Linked DNA regions of Drosophila melanogaster. The protein of the gene in region 1 interacts with the protein of each later gene in a biochemical or structural test. Each region holds a gene or a part of one and is shown on either strand. Other genes may lie near its edges.

The links.
Region 2: the proteins of MEP-1 (region 1) and Mi-2 form a complex in vitro, tested with the Drosophila melanogaster proteins (one study listed by BioGRID).
Region 3: the proteins of MEP-1 (region 1) and simj form a complex in vitro, tested with the Drosophila melanogaster proteins (one study listed by BioGRID).
Region 4: the proteins of MEP-1 (region 1) and Doc1 form a complex in vitro, tested with the Drosophila melanogaster proteins (one study listed by BioGRID).

What each region holds. Positions count from the first base shown.
Region 1 is NT_037436.4:2,629,793-2,634,752, forward strand, and holds the start of MEP-1 (MEP-1), read left to right. Parts: upstream 1-1,922; 5' UTR 1,923-2,019; coding exon of another isoform or gene 2,020-2,124; exon of another isoform or gene 2,125-2,184; coding exon of another isoform or gene 2,185-2,329; intron 2,330-2,482; exon of another isoform or gene 2,483-2,674; intron 2,675-3,745; coding exon of another isoform or gene 3,746-3,951; 5' UTR 3,952-4,017; intron 4,018-4,960. Other genes in the region: CG42245 (uncharacterized protein), read left to right, coding at 2,020-2,124, 2,185-2,329, 3,746-3,951.
Region 2 is NT_037436.4:19,907,214-19,912,152, forward strand, and holds the start of Mi-2 (Mi-2), read right to left. Parts: upstream 3,003-4,939; 5' UTR 2,867-3,002; coding exon 2,830-2,866; exon of another isoform or gene 2,421-2,829; intron 2,367-2,420; exon of another isoform or gene 1,985-2,366; intron 1-1,984. Other genes in the region: Prp3 (precursor RNA processing 3), read left to right, coding at 3,265-4,306, 4,361-4,939. UniProt on the Drosophila melanogaster protein: ATP-dependent chromatin-remodeling factor which acts in nucleosome-remodeling by catalyzing ATP-dependent nucleosome mobilization. Involved in regulating transcription. Plays a vital role in development.
Region 3 is NT_037436.4:10,662,879-10,667,754, forward strand, and holds the start of simj (simjang), read left to right. Parts: upstream 1-1,860; 5' UTR 1,861-2,492; intron 2,493-4,876. Other genes in the region: CG8003 (uncharacterized protein), read left to right, coding at 1-48; Adi1 (acireductone dioxygenase 1), read left to right, coding at 568-690, 772-849, 912-1,039, 1,197-1,290, 1,350-1,487.
Region 4 is NT_037436.4:9,039,669-9,045,577, reverse strand, and holds Doc1 (Dorsocross1), read right to left. Parts: upstream 4,204-5,909; 5' UTR 4,039-4,203; coding exon 3,948-4,038; intron 3,750-3,947; exon of another isoform or gene 3,681-3,749; intron 3,546-3,680; coding exon 3,380-3,545; intron 2,191-3,379; coding exon 1,923-2,190; intron 1,855-1,922; coding exon 1,717-1,854; intron 1,234-1,716; coding exon 721-1,233; 3' UTR 536-720; downstream 1-535.

The DNA.
Region 1 (4,960 bases):
TTTTACAAATTTGTTCATTTGTTTTCCAACACTATTGTTTTGGGCATTAGACAACTATTTTTTTTATTTTAACAAATATTTTCTTCCTATTTCTGGTCCTCGCTTTGCTAAGCAAAATTACCGAATTACTAGCGATTCGAGCGATAGTTTTCTCTCAGTGCCTCCGCGAAATGTTTAATTTTAGAACGATATTCCGCTATTAAACGAGTCCGGGCAATTTTCGACCGAGTGAACTGAACTGAACTGCACGCGCCAAATGCCGACTAGCATCTGAGCGCCGAGGAGCAGAGACTGTAAAGCGGAATTTGAACCGAATCGCCGAGTTGCACTTCGGCAGAGGCGGAGGACTCCGTGCCGGATGCAGACTGTGATAACATTTTCCTGAGGCTCTGCGTTCTCAAGAGTGCTCGATATTAGTTGGCCGGCATGTGACTTGAAGCCTATGGATTCTGAATGGGACGGTCGGATGGATGACTCTATATCCAGCATATAGCATCGTATCCGTATCAAGGCCGAAACACTTGTGTTGCACCGGCATTTTCAATGTATTTTCAATGCGGACGCAAAGCGAGCAAAACAAAACACAACAAGCATACGCCACGTTGCACTTGCACAGCATCAAATGCCCTGCCATCCTCATTTTTAATGCATGAGGGGGTGCTCCCTCCACCCGGCCACACTCCATTTGTTTTTCCAACCATCGCTGTGGATTGCGTAGCGATTGGGGGCTGCAGCTCCGAAACTGTTCGCTTAAGCGGTCGGTGATAAGACGCGAAATCAAATTTAAAAGCTATCAATTTGATATTAGTTCGGGGACCGACGAAAATCCTTCGGGGGAAAAGCTGCTGCCGCGTGCCAGAATGCAGAAATCGGAGTTTTTCATGGGGAATTCGTTCACGGAAAAACAAAAGGAATATATTTGAAATATAAATTTATGTTTTATTGTCATATTTTTCACTGGATATGACACTAATTTAATTCTTCTCTATCTGTCAGTCTACAGATATTTGTTTGGGTTTATGCAAAAAAAAAACCAAAAAAAAAAAACTTTTGTTTAGCTCCTCTCACGTATTTTATTTATAACTAAACTAAATATATGAAACGCTGTTTTCTCAGTGCATCCTATTTGTGTTTTTGCCAACATATGCTGCAGCTCATAAAATTTCTCCGCTTTGCTGCAGTTTTCATTTGCCTTTTTTTTTCGGCAGCTCTTTTTTGGTTAGCTGTCGAAGTTTTGAAATCAATTTGCAGATGATTTATTATGTTCCCAGGAACGAATAGGGGGCTTCAATCGAGGAGGAGTCTGTGCATACGACATTGCAAATGGAAGCCACTGACGTTGATGAATGCCGCTGTGTATTGTTTTGCTGTCAGAAGCGATCAAATTTCTGTTTTGGAGCACGGAATTCCAGGTGAAGCGGAAAATTTGCAAGTTATGCGACAGTTTTATGCGCCCATTTTTTGATTGGCAGCGAGGATTCGCAAATTGATGGCACGTCTCGGGGCAATCGGTTTTCTCAGCGGAAATGCCAGTTGGAAATGGGAACTTAAGATACTTAAAGAAATGCATCAAAAATAATAGGATAAATATTATATATTTATAGAAATTTTTAAGAAATATTAACTCTTTATCAACAGTAAGCATTTTCAAAAAGTAACCGCTTTTGCCTAACAGTGCTGCCCATCTACAATTGGTTTTCAGGCAGCACTATGCACACGGCAGTACAGCTGTTACTTATCGGTGCTATCGATAAATATCAAGGACTCAAAAATTGGGACTAATAATATTAAAAGAGCAAGCTTAAACTTTAACATTATAACTATTAAAACTGGATTTACAATTGTCTTACGTTACTTTAAAGTATAGCAGTTGAAATCGATTTAGTATTGTCAACGCGCGCTTTCCCACACTGCTCGATAAGCATATGTTTTTCTTATCGACATTTGTGGTAAATAAAAAGTGCAAAAACCGCTGCTAAATCGGTCAAGAAGTGCAATGATATAGCCGCCATATCTGATATGTCCAAGCGCAACATAACGTACGTAAAGCCGCAAGAACCTAGTTTTCTGGCCAAGTTGAAGGCTGAAATTGGCTACAAGGAGGGACCCACCGTAGAGACCAAGGTGAGTTCTACGGGGAAGGCCTCTGCAGCATTCTAATGCGGATATATAACCATTGGTTAGCGTCAGCGATTGGATCCGCAGGACCAGGAGGACTACGATTCTGAGGAAGATTCACGGGAGGACGAACAGCCGCAGGTGGTCGTCCTTAGGCCGGGAGATCTATCCGCCGAAGAGGCCAAAACGGAGAAACTGTTGGCCTCCAAAGGTCGGTACATATGTACAAGCATACATACATACATATCGCTGTAGTACATACATACTTACACGCTCGCACACGCACACACACATGCATATAGCCCACGGTGGCGGCGGCGGCAGTTGCACGTGTGTGCGTAGGTAGGATGTTGTAGTTTGTCTTTCAGTTTAACTTTTCAGTCAGAATCGAGCGGTTGTCTTCTTCTGCCCGGCGTTACATATATCTAAATCATATATGTATATATACATAACTGCGTATATACCGTTGCTTATGTATGAGTGCGCGCGTGTGCTTGTGCATTTTTGCCAAATGAAAATCTAACGGTAGTGCGAAAACAGCAGTTTGTTGCAAGAAGTATGTGTTTTTTTTTTCGAAAAGCACCTTCGGTTTTTCAATCTTTTTAAAGCCCTATGTTGCCATGGCAATCTTGGTCATTTCCGTCCTAAAGATTCCCTTTTTTGCCCAGCGGAGCACCCCTCACACAGACACACACACCCGCAGCAGCTAGCCGACGAGGCATACACACTGACATTTTCATTGGGGGCTCCGCCAAAGCAGAGCATGTGATGAAAATCGTTGGCAAAGCGGGCGCGGCGATAAAGCAGCCGGCAAAGAAGTTAACAACAGCAGCTGCCGCCGCTCGCTTTGTCCGCCTCTTCCGCTCGCCCCCCTGCCCCTTTCAGCCCCACTTGGAAGAGCGCAGAAAATCGGGTGAAAACAACGTGTGCAAGAACGAACGGATGAAGGAGGCGGGCAAAGCGGAGAGACAATGATGAACGAAGCAGGCGAGCAAAGAGGAAAAGAGCGGGCCAAAGTGGCTTGACGACGTGGTGGCGGTGGCAAAGGCGCTGCGGGGAGGGGGTAGGCGTTGAAGAAGGGGCTGGCGGAACAGCGGGGGCGGGTTGCGAATCAGTGGGTGGAGCGGGAGGGGGAGTGAAGCGGGAGCGTCGGGCGAGAAGGGGCTTCCCAGGGCCGAGAAAAACATCTTGTGGGTGCTGCTTGGAAAAGGGGGGGGTCGGTGGGTGGCTTGTTCTGATTTACACCTCCCTCCTCCCCATTTGTCATGCTGCAGTTTTTAAAACCCAGATACATTTTCCAATCCAATAATGAATTGCTGGCATATTAGTCACCTTCCTGGCAATTTTATAAGCAGATCAATTTTCAAAAACTTTCTTGTATTCCTTTTAGTTAATGCAATTTTTAAATTTATTTTATTTATATCAGCTTTGATATATGTATTGGCATTTTTCTCCCTAAATTTGTGCATACTACTTTCCCCAAAATATTTTTCATTCTAAGATAGTTTATATAACTTAAATACTCCATTTAACTTGTAAATAGGTGTTTACTTACACGCTTTACTACGATCATAATAAGTACAGATGATTGCTGACCCATAACTAACTCCCATTTTCAATCTTCCAGAATTAGCCGAAAAGCGAGCGGATCTGACGCAGCCAATAGTCTTCAAACACTGTGTCAAGCAGCCCAACATCGAGAAAAAAGAGTCCCAATCTGAAACCAACAAGAAGTCCGAAAAATCCAGCACATCCAAGAGCAAGAAGTCCAAGGCCGCCAGTAGTAAGCTGTCCTTCAACGAGGACGAGGAGGACGAGACTGCCGAGGATTGAAGATCACACCTTAGTTATCTGGCTATAAGTTGAACCAACCAAGTTAACCTGCAGCGAATGATTAAGGTGAGAAATTCAGGTCAAAAACAGCAAATGATTGTTAACTATGCTTTGTATTTCTTTGTTGCCATGTGAATTTATGAGTTTAATAATGGGGTTTCCATATGTATGTGTTAAAATCCAACTCGCAATGACGCTGTCATCATAGATTGTAGATTTTTCACCAAAGAACTAAACTGTATACTCAAGTTGATATGATATAGTATATATTTGAGTTTTTGCATTAAACATATGCATGTATTGCTGATTTATTGTTATTTAGAAATGAATCATTGAGATTAGATCATGGTTTTGACACGTCGATCGTAAAAATAATTATAGAATTCTTTAAAGATCCCTTAGATTCCTACAACATGATTTTTTCCTAAAGCTTTTCCAAATTTATGTTTTTTAAATAAGTGTTACACGTTTTAAGTAAATTATTAGCATACTAATTATATTTATTATTATCACGTAATGTACTTTACGTGAATCATACTACTTGGAAAAATATTAGTGACTCAAAACCGAATATTTGTGGTGAAATTTTATGTTATTTTCTTCTTTTTTTTAATGTATCTAATGTTACATTTTTCCATTTCAATTGTGAGTTCTTAGTTGGGTTTGATATTCAATCCCAATACAGATTGATCTTAAATCTTGATCAAAGTCCGAAATCTGCTAGAGAAAGTCCTCGGACAACAGGATTATCTAAACTCTGATACCTAATATCTTATAATTTAATCACTTGATTAGAAGAAATGTGGTAAAGTCCTTTTTGATACATGCGATCAATCTCTTAAATTAGTATCTTGTATCTTTACTTTCGATTCAATTGACTTCACCTCTAAGATATTAAGACCCAACTGCCACAGTAATTTCCGCTTAACTTTGTAAATTTGCACTGGAAAATATGAATTGGCTAATTTACTCGATATCGAAAAGGGTCACGTGTATGTATAACATAAAG
Region 2 (4,939 bases), about 17 Mb from region 1:
TCAAAATCAAGAAGAACAACAAAAACCATTATCGAAGCGACCTAGTGTTGTTCTACTTGAGAGAGCGTTTTTTGAATAAAAATGAACGTATTTGAAAGCTAAAATAATATTTACTTTTCCTATTTATGTTTCATAGTTTTGTGGACTTTAAGCGCAAGTAAACTTTTTCGAAATGCCAGCACACACATACCATTTACCAATTATACAAGCATATATATTTATAAAGATATGTATATGTATATACATGGCGGATATAAAAAAGCACCACTTGTTGTTGACTTGATTGAATGCAGTGCGTGCGAGCGGGATGGCAAGTTGTGTTTCGCCAAAGCAAGGTAAGATCGTCACCAATACACCAGTAACTGCAGCTCACATACACACACAGTATACTTTCACTTCTTGTATTGAATTTTTGATTTTATTTGTGCTGGCGCCATGTTGTTGTTGTTAGACATGGGGTTTTAAGCAGATTTATGCAGTCGGCAACAGCGAAGCTTTTGATAAAAAAATGACAAGAATGCTCAGATTAACAACGAAAAAATCAAATTATTTGGATCTTTTGAAGATACAAAGTTGCGGTAATGAATGTCATTATTATTAATACATTTGATCGATATGTGCTTTAATTGCATGAAACATTGAAACGGTGTCAAATGCCATTGCGTATTTCTTGCTGTGTACGTAGGAAAAATGCATACGTCATTGCCGAAACCTTCTTATCCCTCTCACACCCTTTTATTGTTGCATTACTGCATAAATAGTGGCACTCATACATGTGCATCGTTTTAGCCTTTTGTAATTTATGCGATGTCGCATTACTCTTGATTGTTTACTTGTGGTAGAGTAATCGGAAATCGGATGGCAATGTTAAAGTAAACAATTTTAAAGACAGCATAGCGCAGCAAATCATAAAAATTATCACAGAACCGGCAAATGGTGAAATTAGGAAGAAGAAAAATGGGGAAGAACCAACGTTGGCTGACGTCACAAACGTGAGGGAAAAGACAGAGCGAATTAAGCATCCTCCTATCGATGTATCGAAGGATAACGGCAGCGAATCCAATTAGAATGAGCACCGAAGGACGGGGAGGGGAACGTGTTAAAATTAGACATTGAATTCTACTCCCACGCTATTTCTCTAGGATAACTTCCTCACGCACGCACACCGTATACATATACATACACACGCCCACAGTGCAACAGCGTCGAACGGAGAAGCAGAAGAGAGGCGAATGAGGGCAGGGACAGAAGAGAGAAGAGGCCTGTAGACAGAAGAGGAACAGCTGCGAACGAATTAACATAAATTGTATGCAAAATTGGGGTGGCTATGGATACTGCTGCTTTTTGTTACACAGCGGCGGCATATTGTTTATCAGTTTTCCTATGAACTACTACTACATTCCAGCAATTTCCTCGCGAGACGGGCACCTTCCCATCCCATCCCTTGGCATCGTCTCTTTTCCACACTCTACTTTTCTCCTTCTTCATCTTACTTGTGTGTTGGCATATTTTGATTAACTCGTTAAAAAGACTATACTTTAGTTGTTTTGCAGGCACTTCGGTAGGATTGCATTGGTAGCTATATTTTTGTTGTTGTTTTTAACTAAATTTAATTTAAACGCGTCGGGTTTCTGTGAGTTTTTTTTTATCATATACGTTGGAGCGACAGAGACGGGGCGACGGCGACGTTTGGCTGGAGCGCGCGTGCATAACACGCACACACACAGAGACGCAAGTACGCGAGAGAGTGGAGAAATCAATCAAGAGAGCACGTCGGCGAAGGGGGAGTGGAAAAAATCACATATGTATGTGCGTCAGTGGAAGTGCGACAAGATTTTCCACAATATTCCACGCATCTTTGTTTCGTTTCTTTAGATATATGCACATATTGCTTCGTTTTCTTTTTGCATTGCTTTCTTACACAATTTATAATATATATATGCATATTTTGTGGTAATTTCAGGTTTTTATTTTTTGCACACACTTTTCATCATTCTTTTTTCGCTTTTCCTTCAGTTGGATATATTACGCACTGGATTTGTGGCTTTACACTGGCAATCGGTAGGCGGTGGCGAGTAATGCACGTATTCCCCTTAATTAACAGTTTTCTCTACAATTAATAATGTAATCTCTTTAACAAAAACTCAGAAATCACGTCATGGCTGCCACGTCCAAGCAACAATGAATGTAAATGGTGGCAGATGAGGCCGTCTGGGCATTCTCGACTAGCTCCAAAAGGGGCACACTATTTTTCTGGTGATACCATTGCACAGCCGATGATAACACTGCATATACGGTAACACCACAATAAGTGTGAACTAAAATGAATTTTCCGTATATTACAATTGACACTTGACAATTCACAGGTAAAGTAAACATCTTAATTGCTAAAGAACTTAAGATAAAACTTAATTTTAAAGGATTTACAGAGTATTCCACTCAAAACTTTCGACCAAAACAACCATGTAAAACATATGTTTTGATGAGTGAGCAGGACGTCTATATATTGCCTGCATTCGCGAATGGAGGGAACACAAAAATGCAATAAAAAATATGTGTGGAATGGAGGAGGCGCAAAAGACCCCAAAAAAACGCGCCACACATGTACAAATTTCACCAATTGCTGTAATACAAATAGTTTATAACGAGGTACAGCAATGACAATGACCAATTAGGATAATAGGCAACAATAAACAATGGGAGGGGGACGCAGCACGCTGCGCGGCTTTGCGGCTCTTGAACATGACCACGGTTCTTAGCCTGACCGAGCGACGGTCGGACCGAGTTTTTTTCACGCCGACATTTGGCCGACTGAAACAATGCACTTACCCTGGAAATTATCGTCATTCTCTTCCTCCGATGCCATTGTAGCACTCGAATGCAACTTTTACACTGTTTGAGCACACGAAATTGTCTTAATTTCCACAACAAATAATTAAGCACACACAGACACGACGAGAAAAAAATAGTCAATTGTAAGCGGCTTCAACAAATATGGCGGAGCGGAGAGCGACAAAAAGTGAGAGAACTAGGGTTGCACCCCGATAAAAGAAAGCGAAACGGTCACACTGGCGACATGACAACCCTGACTTTTATGTTTTTTTAACGACCCTGTCCTAACGTGTTTCGGAGAATTTTTCACCAAAGACCAAAAACCTTGTGTATTGTTTTTGAATTGCAAATCGCTGATTTAAGCTCAAGGAATGTGCCAAGCAGTTGGTAAATAACATTTACTTTTTAGTCCGACCCATTTAATTGCGAATTATGTCGTCCATTATCACGCGCAAGGATGGCGACGACCAGAAATTGTCCAAAAAGCGCGCTGCCGCCTCAGATTCCAAAAGTGGTGGTGGAAGCGCCCTTGAAGCGCCCAAGAAATCCCGCTTCGATGTCCCGGAAAAGAATGGCGGCGGTGGTGAGAAGAAAGAAGAGGTCGCCGTGCCCGCCTCGCTGAGTTCCACGCAGATCAAGCTGATGATGGCCCATGCCCAGCGGGAGATCGAGGAACGCAAGCGGGCCCTGAGTAATCTAAGAGACAAGGATCCGCTGCTGGCGTCAGTTCCATCGATCGGAATGCCAGTTGCCTTAGCCACTCAAGCGCTGGCGAAGAAGCCCACGCCCGAGGACTCGGAGAAGGCCAGGAAGATTGCCGAGTTGCAGGCACAGATCAGGGCCAAGCTTACTGGCAATTTGGCTAGTTTGATTCAGCCCACTGCGGTAGCGGCCGCCGCTGCAGCTGCTGCTCAAGCGCAGGAGCGACCCAAACCCCTGATTCTGGACGATGAAGGACGCACTGTGGACAAGAGCGGACGTACCATTAATATTCCCACGGTGACACCTACATTGAAAGCCAACATACGCGCCAAGAAACGGGAGGTGTTCCAACGCCAAACGGGTTTGGGTGAACGGAGTGAATCGGGCACTTCGGCCCAGGAAGAAGCTATTAAGTACTTTGACGACCGCATAGCCCTGAAGCCCACTGTTAGAACCAAGAGGACGTTGAGATTCCACGAGCCCGGAAAGTTCCAGCAGCTGGCCGAACGAATGCGCATGAAAAGCCAGCTGGAGCGACTACAGAATGAGATTTCGCAAATAGCCCGGAAAACGGGCATCTCGTCGGCCACCAAACTGGCATTGATTGCCCCCAAGCAGGACATGCCGGACGATGTGCCTGCCATGGAGTGGTGGGACTCAGTTATACTGACCCAGGATCTGGAGACGGTAGACGACGCAAGCGGTAAGATAAGCATACGCCAAACAGCCATAACCAACCTTATAGAGCATCCCACACAAATGAAGCCGCCAAGTAAGTTGAAAGCTAGAACATGTCCCACAAGCAACTAACCACCTACTCCTTCAGATGAGCCCTTGAAACCAGTGTATCTGCCGGTTTTCCTCACAAAGAAAGAGCGCAAAAAGCTTCGTCGCCAGAACCGTCGCGAGGCCTGGAAGGAGGAGCAGGAGAAGATCCGACTGGGTTTGGTGGCCCCACCAGAGCCGAAACTGCGCATATCCAACCTGATGCGTGTGCTTGGCTCGGAGGCCGTACAAGATCCGACCAAAATGGAGCAGCATGTGCGCGACCAGATGGCCAAGCGGCAGAAGGCGCACGAAGATGCCAACAATGCGCGCAAGCTGACCAGCGAGCAGAAGAGCGAAAAGAAGCAGCGCAAGCTGAGGGAAGACACCAGCTGCGGTGTACATGTCAGCGTCTATCGCATACGAGATCTGCAGGACAACCAGAGCAAGAAATTCAAGGTGGAGACCAATGCCAAGCAGCTGCAGATGACCGGCAGCGTGGTGTTGTTCCGGGATTGCTGTGTGGTTGTCGTGGAGGGTGGGCCCAAGCAGCAGAAAAAGTATCGCAGGCTCATGCTAACGCGCATTAAGTGGGAGGAGGACAACGCCAAGGGCAATGACGGCCAGGACGTGCCGAACT
Region 3 (4,876 bases), 8.0 Mb from region 1:
ATTGACACGGCCGAGCTGCGCGAGGAACTGTCCAAACTGACTGCGTAATCCTGTGCTCCTTTGTAACGCCAATAAATGTAACATAAAACCAGAAACCTAGCATTTTCGCGTACTAAAAGATTGTTAGTACCAAACTGTCAGATGTCTACACAAATTAAACTAGATAATAGTAACGAAAGGCAAAATTGCACGCTACAAATTCAATTAAAGTCAAAACATACAACAAACTGCCCAAAAATCGTATATCTATCGTAAAATAATAAAGAGTAATAATGGAACAAAAAAAAAATAGAAAAATAACTCCTTTTGAAGGTTATTAAAATTATGGTTATTTTACGTTTTAAATCGAACATTTCAAAAATGAAGTTTTTAAAATAGCAGTATTTCGAACACAAAACTAACAGCATTCATTTTCGAATGTTAAGTTAACAGCACTAGCGGCATTCGCCTGAGTGTCTGTTATCGATTTCGAAAATTCGAAAACGAACAGCTGATGCCAGTTGAATTTTTCTTGTTTAATCTATTTGTTGCTCGTTGCTCGTGAAAACCCGTTTAAAACAGTCCAAAATGGTGCAGGTTTGGTATATGGATACGGAGGAAACCGATCAGCGCCTGGAGCACCACCGCAATCCGCCTGCCTACTTGGAACTGGATGATCTGTACCAGAAGACCGGCGTGGAATACTTTAAGGCAAGTGAAAAGCGAAATTGCGACTTTAAAAACCTTAAGTGACCTTGGGGGCGAGCTTATCTTGATCATTCACATTTGCAGATCAATGCGGACGAGTACCAGAGCGATAATACCCTCACGGAACTGAGGGCAAAACGTGGCTACACCTACGATGATGAGGCAAGATCGATGTTTTCTTGAAAAACATCTACCGAACTTTGGTAAACTTCGAATTATTACAGATCACATGCTCGGAAAAGTGCCTTCCAGACTATGCCAACAAGTTGAAAGCCTTTTTCACCGAACACCTGCACACGGATGAGGAAATTCGCCTGATATTGGAGGGATCCGGTTACTTTGATGTTCGCGAGTAAGTTTTGTTTATTTACACCGCATTTTATAGTATCCCAGCCACATTTTCCCAATTAAATAGTTCAAGCATTCATATTCTTACTGATATTGTTTTTGCTCACACTAATAACATTTTTGGAATTGTTTTAAAACGGAAAACTATTTATTCTTTATAGCAATGAGGACAACTGGTTGCGCATTAAGGTTGTCAAGGGAGATCTGATCATTATACCAGCTGGCATATATCACCGCTTTACTTTGGATACCAATGTAAGTTATTTTGACAATCTTATATACAAACTTAAACTATTTGTATTGTTTTTTCTTAGAACTTTATCAGAACTCGTCGCTATTTTGTGGGCGAACCTGTCTGGGCTCCACACAATCGTCCTGCTGATGAAATGGACTGTCGCAAATCGTACATCAAGCATCAGTCGGAAAACTTTGTGCAATTCAATAAGGTTTAAAAACCTTAAATCTTATCTTTTACCATCAAGTTTGATATTTTGAAATATAAAATCGCTGTGTATAATCAATAGTTTCAATAGTTTTTTGTTTAACTTACAATTTTCGCTGATTAACGTAGTTTTGATATAGAATTCGAAGTCTATTTTCTATATCAATAAACCCCGCCAAAAACTTGATTTCGAATTTTATCTCTTAGTTGGTTGCTGCATATGCTAAACGTACTTTCGAACTCGAATCTCAGAGAGTACAATTCGCGGTATGACCGTACCAGCGCCGAAGAGAAAAAACAGCGCAAGTATATAATCCCAAGCGCCAGCGAAAGTATCGAGCCAACATCGATGCGCGTGCCATCGCTAGGAAGGAAAACAAAACAAACACTTTTTTACTTTTTCATCTCTCGGATCGTTCGGACGTGCTACGCGGTCTCGTCTGTGTGTGTGAGGTAGTGTGCGTGAGCGGAGCGGCGAAAAAGCACAATTGAAATTAAATCGAGTCGTTATCTGTGGATTCGGCGGATACAATACAATATCGTATCGTTATCTATTTACAAACAAATCGACGTGGATTAATAAAATGCCGCACACGAATGCTTAAAGCGGCCTATCTGTGTGTGTGTACGTGTGTGTCTATGTCTTTGTGTGTTTCACTCTCTCTTTGAAATAGTAAACAAATTGCGTATAAAGTTTACAGCAAAGTAAAAGACAAACAAAAATATTTATATAAAACAAAGTATATTCTGCAGTGCGTGTAAAATATTTCGAAAAGTAGCCGCAAAAAGGCAGCGGCGTCGACGTCAGCAGAGCGCGGGCTGCAAGTGTGTTGGTGAGGCGTATATACATACATACCAACGCATAAGTGCATATATAAGGTGGTACATAAGCAGTGTAATTAATTAAGTGAAATCCAAATAGTTTTGTGCATGCGAAATTGGAAAAATCGAGAGGAGTTCCGCAGCAGCAGCGCAGCGGCAGAGGCGCCACCGACTAACGGATTTTCACACGCGGGTAAGTTTTCTTGTTTTTTTCCCCCGTTTTCTTGCCCCAAAACAGTGCTAAAATTTTCATTACGCCAAAGAGGAAAAATTCAATATGTATATGTATGCTCCATCTCCAATCGCTCTCTCTCGTTCGCCCCGCTCTCTCTCTCACTGCCACTATCCAATTTAACCTCAACCGGTCTGCTGCTGCGGCGTCTCGTATGCATGTCGCCCATCTGTGCGCCTCCTTGTGTGCGTGTGGTTGTGTGTTTGAACAATCGAGGTCAATGCAATAGTGGCAATTAAGAAAAGTCATAAAACCCAAAAGTTGGTTGTTAAAACTGTCTTACAAAACAAACTATAAAATGTACAATAGCTTAATGATTGGCACTAGAATTAAATACTTATATGTATTGTTATCAAAACAATGAAAGTAATATGAATTACTACTAAACGCCAAACACTTCAATAGTTTTTTAAGGTAATATTTAACACACATTTTTAATTTGAATTTATTAATTTTCTCAATGTTTACGCTCTGATCTTACTGCTATGGTTTCGCCCTCGACTGTATGCATCTGCATAAGTGCCGTTGTGTGTGTTGGTGTTTCTGTTTGTGTGCGCTTGTCATTCGGCTCGTTAAAAATGCTCTGCCGACGTCGCAGTTGGCGTTGGCGGCTTCTTCTTTAACTCTCGCGCATTATTTCGCAAAGCTCCAAAGCCTGCTGCTTCTTCTTCTGCCCCCCCCCTCCTGTTATTGTTGTTGCTGCTGCTAGCCAGCCTGCCTTTCTTTCTTCTATATTGACAATTTTTACAGCTTTTATCTGTTGTTGTTGGGACGCCATGCTTAGGAGCTTGTCTCAGCTGCTACTTTTTTTCCTGTGTCGCTCGACTGGGTTGCCGCGGTTTTTCCTTTTTGTATTCGGAAGGGGTTGTCGCCGCTGTTCGTTTTTCTTTCCGTTCCCGTTATCTATACACACATTTCTCGCTTATGAATGAGATTTGTTGGCGGTCTTTTATGTTAACTGTGTTAATGAACTTTTTCCCATTCGTTTTGTATTTGATTCTGTTTTACATATTTATACTTGCTAATTACCCGCACGCACTTTTTGAGCTTTGCAACACTTGTTAATTTCTCGAAAATTACCCCCCGCACACATACACTCATGCAGAAATGCACTTGTTTCGCAAACTCTCTCTCCCATTCGGTTCTCTCATTTTTGGGGTTCCCCCCTCTCTCTTTCTCAACCATCCCGCAGCGCACGCATTTTTCGGCAATGTTGCATGCTCCAAAATACAAATACACAGCCATACAAAAAACCACCTTGCTGGCTGTCTCGCTCCCACACACAAACACACTCGCATACAGACGCACGCACTAAAACCCGGTTCGTCGTTAGTTTTAAACTTATTTTGGCATTCTTTATGTGCACTGCATTCTCGACGTCTCGTCGAGTCTCCCCATCCTCCTCTGCCACCGCTTTGCACTTCTCTTCGCCTTTCCTCCTCTCTCCGCTCCTTTGCTCTCTGCTTTTGGTCTCGATTTTACGACCCAGACCCGCATTTCTAGTAGTTTTTGTTGTTCTTGCTTGTTGCAATAGTTTAGTTGGTGTTGCTGTAATTGCAATTGTTGTTGTTTTGGTTTCTCTGTGGGTGGGGGAGGGGTGGCTATATCTGAACTAGTTCACAGCGGATCAGGTGAAATCCGAAAGTTAAGAGGAGTTAAAAGTTCGCTGAACCTATTTCCAAACTATTAAACCATCGGTAATTCAATTTGTAATAAGATTTATTTCAAGAAAATGAGTTTTTAGCTATGCGAATTCTTATCTTTGCCAAGTATTATCGTAAAATCAATGATTGATAAGAATTTTGAACTTCTATAAATTTCAATGAGGCAAAATCAAATAGAATGCAAATAATAAGTCTTACACATTTGTAGAACAAAATAAAATATACATATCTATAAAATGCGAATGTAATTAATTGATAATTAGTAGCTCCAACCAATTAGCCATGGAAAAAGTGAATCGAAAGAGTTAAAATATATCTGGTAGGTTGGGAACTAGAATGCCCGGTTTCTAGATTTATCGCTGTAGATTTTAGCGTTACCTTTGTTTGTTGCCGTGTCAGCTCCACACAGGTACCACTCACCCGCGCACACACACACACACACGCGTGTCGATTTACCTGAGTTTGCAGGTGAGTTTGCCAGTGTCTGTGTTTGTGTGTGTGAGTTTAGGGGAGCTTGCTCGATAGCCGAAATTCTCTTTTCGTCTTTTCGTGCGTTTTTGTTTGTGCAAGTGGAGCAACAAAAGTCGACGGCTTTGCAGTATCGCTGCGCTCTTCCTCTTCCTCGTTTCTCCTTCCCCTTTTCACTTCATTTCCCTCTCCCCACCCCCCCTGGCACTTGTT
Region 4 (5,909 bases), 6.4 Mb from region 1:
AGACGGCAACAGCAGCAAGTGCACTGCAAGAAAAGTGCTTCGATTTTGAAATGATCAGATGAATGTTGAATTTTTCTTTCTTTAAATTTACTTTAAAAACCATTTCTATTAGCAATACCATAAGCCAAAACTTACTTAGTTGAATTGAAATGTGTGATACTTTTTTTTCTCCGTGCACCCACCTCTGCGTCATCTCTGTGTCCCAGGGATGCGGATGGAATCGCAGGGGAGCTGGGAGTCGGCAAAGACCAAACAGCCTGAAAGCCGTCAAATCGCTGCTCATAATGGACGCCTTATCTTTGGAGAATTGCTTTAACTACTACCGGAGTTGGATGTTTTTCAGATACGTGTGACTCGAGAACCGACTGGTCACCATAATGGAGAGCATTAATTTGTCTTAGGCCCGCCAAAGCGGTCGCATAACTGCTTTTGGCCCAGGCACTGCGATATGGCCAAAAACCTGTAAAAACGGAAACGCTGAAGGTTACCGTTGCTCCCCCCCCCCCCGCAAATAGTTTTGCATTTTCTACGGATTCGATGTCTGATTTGTTTATTTTGACCAAAGACTCTTAAAACGAATTAACAATGTATATGATTGCAGCTTGGTTCTTAAACGATCTTATATGTAGCATAGATTAGCTTACAAAGTATATGCACACGTTTCTCACTAATCACAACAGAAGATGACTCCAACTTAAGTATGTTTACCAAATATTTCTTTCAATAGGCCAAAATGGCTGAAATGCTGAAGCTATTTCTTTTCGTTGAGGTTGAAGGCCTTGGTGATGTTGTGGGTGTGCTGGAGCCAACGGGTTGCGAGGCCACAGGACTAACAGGCGCGACAGTTGGCGCATATGTGGCTGGTGGCATTGGCAGAATCTGCGGAGGAACTCCACCAAAATAGGCAGCTGCAATGCTGGGCGGCAATCCGGCAGCTCCACTGGGTCCATAGCTCAAGTGATGGCGGAGATACGGCGACATAGGATTGGCAACTGGATGAGTTGCTCCATAGTAAGCTGGCGAAACACTACCCGTTGAGTCCTGCTCAAAATCCTGGCGCTGGCGCTTCGCCTGCGGAGAATCGCAGCTGCTCACACTGGAGCCATCATCCTCCGACTCCAGCGTCGAGTTTCCGCTGCTGTTCAGCTTCCTTTTGCAGCGGGATTGACCCGACTCGCGGAAACCCTTAGCGAACGGATTGTTATCGATCTTCAATTTGGTGATGCGATCGTTCTGCAAGCATGAGAACAAATTTATAAATTAATTTAAGCACATAAATGATTAATTACTATCAGTTTTTATACAACAATGAATTCTTAAAACGAATTAGCTCTAAATGTATTACTTTTAACACTTGAATTTTCAATTAGATCGTAAAAAGGAACAATAAATAAATTTACGGCCTTATAAAAAAGATTTGCAGATTAAATAAATATGTAAAAAAACGCGTAGTTTTAAATCTAATTTAAATAGTATGAAAAACGATCTCTATTGTTTTTGTCTGGTCGAAATTTAAACTACGAGGCGTCAGTAAGTAGCCGTCGGCTGGGAGGGCACTTGAAAAGTTCCACTGTGATCCTCGTTAGGATCAAACTCAAGTGGCTGGCTAGGCGACAAATTTGAAAATGCCTCAATTAGGCGACGACCCCCGCAGAGTCTTTGTCCTGTCAGACATGTCCTCAATGGAGGACGGAAAGGATGTTGTCTTTAACCCACCTGATAGGCTGTGACAGCTACGAACTCCGTCTCCGGGAAAACGAACGCCTGCTGAGGAGCCCATGGAAGTTGGGTGAGCTCGCTGCTGCGGATGATGTGCAGGCGTGGCTGGTACTTATGCATGCTGGCCAAAACGATCTGGAAATGTTAATGGAAACTATAAGTAACCCATTCAAAAGATACACTATGAGCTCACTCAAACTTACATGTCCGCTGCTGTCCAGTGTATTGTTGGTCAGTTTGACCTTGTTGAAGAGCAATGCCTGGGATTGCCAATGGGCACCGGTCGCCGGACTGTCCGGATGCAGATACATGCGCTGCGGACTCTGGGGCTCGGCTCCTCCGGCCGGAACCCACTGGGAACCGGAGAACTTGTAGCGGCAATCGCCAATGGGCACCATCTCGAGGAGTACGCAATAGCTGGCCTCCTCCTCCAGTCCGCTGAGGGAAACTCGCATCGAGGGGAACATGCGTCTGTAAGGATGAAAAGAATAGGACTTGATTAAGTGGCCTGCCACGAACTGCATATAAATCAGGGAAGGAGCATCGCAAAAGAAGGCGTCGCCCGGGCATCTATTCTATTTTACTTCATATCGCCTGTGATTTGTTGCCCCGGCTAACAAGTGTGTAATTATGGACCGAAAAGTAGAGGGCAGCGGGGAGTCTGCGTAGCGCAACGCATCGATTTAAAAGGTAACGCAAACAGATCTTGCCAGCCCAAAACAATATGCCAACGGCACATGATTAATTGTGTGGATCGTTGGTTCATGGAGGAGCACGGGGAGCAACAGAGTGCTGGAGGAGCTGGGGCAATCTGGCGCCAAGCAATTAGACAAAATCTGGGAGTCGCCCTAACGGCTTCCAAGCGTCGAATGCATGTCTAATGAGCCGAGAAAGTGACTGTTATCGCGGATTAAACAGCACAGAAAAATAATATTTCTACTGGATATTAATCATTTTCAATAAAATATTACGAAATATATATATATATAACAAATATATATTTATGTTCAAGATCTCTTGATTTCTATGATGCCCAGCCATATTCTAAGCCTTGGCCAAAAATAATGCTTGTAGTTGCACGATTTCTTTCCGTGTACATTTGCAACTTAAACTTCGAGTTCAGATCATAATTATGTAAATTTGTCTCGGCTCCCGCTCGGTAGTCGCTGTTCGATAGTTCCCCTATCTGAGATACGCTAGGGTCTGGTCTCATCGCTTTGGAGAAGGGTCACGGACAGGGCATGGAATGGTATGGTATGGTATGGTATGGTGGTATTGTGGGCAAAGTGTGAAAAGCGCAGGTAGATCGACCAAACCCGATTGTCAACGCCGAAACCGAGAGAAGAAAGATTTTTATGATCGGACCGGCGCCAGGGCGGCGTCTTGCTCTTGTGTTCTCCTCCGCCGACTACACTGCACTTGTTGTCACTCCGAGCGAGAGCTCCTGCTGCGTTTTGAGTTATGGCCAGGCGCCACATTAGGCCCGGGAAATCGAAAGGTTCAGGGTATAGGCATACTCGTACTCGTATGAGATAGGAATTGGGAAAGTTGGCCCTGGTACAGGAGCAAATATTTACATAGGCCGTGCGACGCACTTGACTTTTGGAAAAACTCGGGCTATTTGCATAGGATAATGGGTTCGCGGGAAAATGAAACTTACCGGCCGCTCTTTGTGATGATCATCTCGGTGCCGATTTTATGGAACTGTTGCCACAAATCGTTGTTCTCCAACTTGGCCTCCACGCCGGGCAGGGTGGGACGACTGGGCAGCATCATGTGCGGCTGCTGGTGGGGCATGTTGAAAGGTAACATCGATGGAAAGGGATCTGGAAGAAGCGGTTTGGTTAGTTCATTAGCATGGGTTTGCAATGGACCTCTTCAGGGAGGTGGGTGTTGCAGAAATCATATTTCTAAGTTAGCTGGAATTTCGCTATCTATTGTATTTTATCGGAATATAATACCTATTAAGATATGTTCAATCAAAGATTGAAAATAAAGGCAATGCAGTTATGACCACAATTTCTAGTTATAATGATAAGTTAAATTGAAGTAGAATATTTATTGCTCATAAAATCCGAAGCACTAATAATAATCACAATATTAAAACACTTTTAAGTACGCTCTTTTGGGTTGCATATATTTTCTCATATTTTTTAGTTTGAAAATCGCGAAACCATTTGCCGACGGCATTCGATCAACACCCATAGACCTTATGTCTAGAAACGCACCTGGAATCCGCTGCATGATCTGCTGGCGGTAGATCTCGTGGGCCAGCTGCTGCTGCATCCGCATATCCATTAGCTCTTGCATGGAAAGCATTTCGAAGCACTTGCACGGTGTATAGCACTTGGTAAAATGTCTTAGTACGTTCTGATAATAACTGGTAGTTTGGAATTCTTCACTGTTATTCACTCGCTCGTAACTGAAGATGCGCTCTGAGGTTCTTTCACGCTCGACGTTTCGCAACGAACTGATCTCGAGTAGCTCCGCTCGAGTGCTAACTCGCCGTGGGTCGCAGCCAGTTTTTCCCGATGCCAAGCAGGTAGCAGCTACGCTTGGAAAACCGGTTCTCCGTGGGCAGCGCCTGTGATTGGCTGGCGGAAGACGCCTACGCTATGTGGGTACTAGTGTTGTCCCACTCTGGCGAAGATCGGTGGATCGACGGTGGGCGCCATTTTGTGAGCAGCGGAGGAGCGGGAAAAGCGAACTGCGTGCAGCCGAGTGGCGAAGTTAACGCTTAGCCCTGTTGATTTTCATCAGCCGCAGTGTTTTTCTGCGCCACTGCCTTCAAGCCGCATTCCCTGTCTCCCTCTCGATCACTGTCAGTTAGGAGACTTGGATATATGTATGCATGTATGTATATGGATGTGGATTTAGCCGGGCTATGGCGTTGCTTGTAATTCAGAAGTGAGATTTTCCACAGCGCGCCTGTCTGCTGTCTTCAGCTGCCGTTGCCTTTTCTTCTCCTCTCGGTTTATTCTTTTTTTTTCTTGTGTGTCTGTTTCGTTTTTATGTTTTTTTGTTGGTTTTGGCGCTGTCGGAAAATGTCCGTTGCCATTTCCATTGCAGCCGTCTTCCGTTTGGGCGCTGTCCCTCCGTCGTTTGCCATGCCCCCGTGTAATTAGCTGGGTTCCCTATCTTCGACATTGTCTGGCATTTCTCGGGTATTTATGTACTTTGCTGCAGACAGGTGAAACATAAATTTTGTTGGCTTTGTTAATTGCCCGTTTTGGAATTTCGATATGCTATGCCCTCGCTATTGATTTGCCCAAAAAAAAAAAAAACTGAGAAATGGAAAATCGAAATTCATATAGTTTTTGGGCTCTGGCTCGAGGGCCTATTGATTAGTGCTTGTCAGCATTGGAAATTGAGGGCTTAAGTGCCTGCGGGTGGAAGTAGATTGAAATGCACATTCCTATATTCACAGGAAGTATTATAATTGATACTTAGTGAGCCATTGATCATTTAAAACACATTGGACTGAAATACGTTAACGAATAGCTATATTATTCTAAAATATATTAAGACTTACTTACTTACTTAACTTAACTTATTCATCAACGCAAATTGAAAACATGCAATGATTTGTAATTTAAAGAAAAAGGAATAACTTAAATCCAATTTATTTGAAACACCATTTTTATAGAACTTAATTTTTAAATGGTTCTTTATCATTTCCCTTATTTCTTGTGGTCTGAACAAATTTTTGTATTTGGATAAAATAGAAACAATAACTCTGTGAAGATTTATTTGCGATTTTTAGTACTATTACTTTTACTTTAATTACTACTTTAATCAGTTGAACTAATTATAGAATTTGATTAGTTATCTATCGATTTTCTTTCAGGACAAGCTACATACAATTTGGTTCAAATGCCATTGATCTTGAACTTGATTCAACTCATAAGTGCATTCATCAGACAAATCTGTCGACAGACATGCGTTTATTTCCTTGACTCGTCGCCAGCAAATAATTTCAAGCTTGAGTTCGCATTCAGTGGACTAGAAAGAAAGTCAATGTCGAAGAGCCTCTATTAAATTAGCATTTCGCTGTCGCCCTGGCACGCTCTTCCGAGTAATGCCCATTCCCATGTCCCAGTCTCCACTGCAACTCCGGATCCGGACGAGACGGCATATCTCCGGTGCTTGGCCAGCTGATGATGATGACTGGAGATTTCTGGCAGCGAACG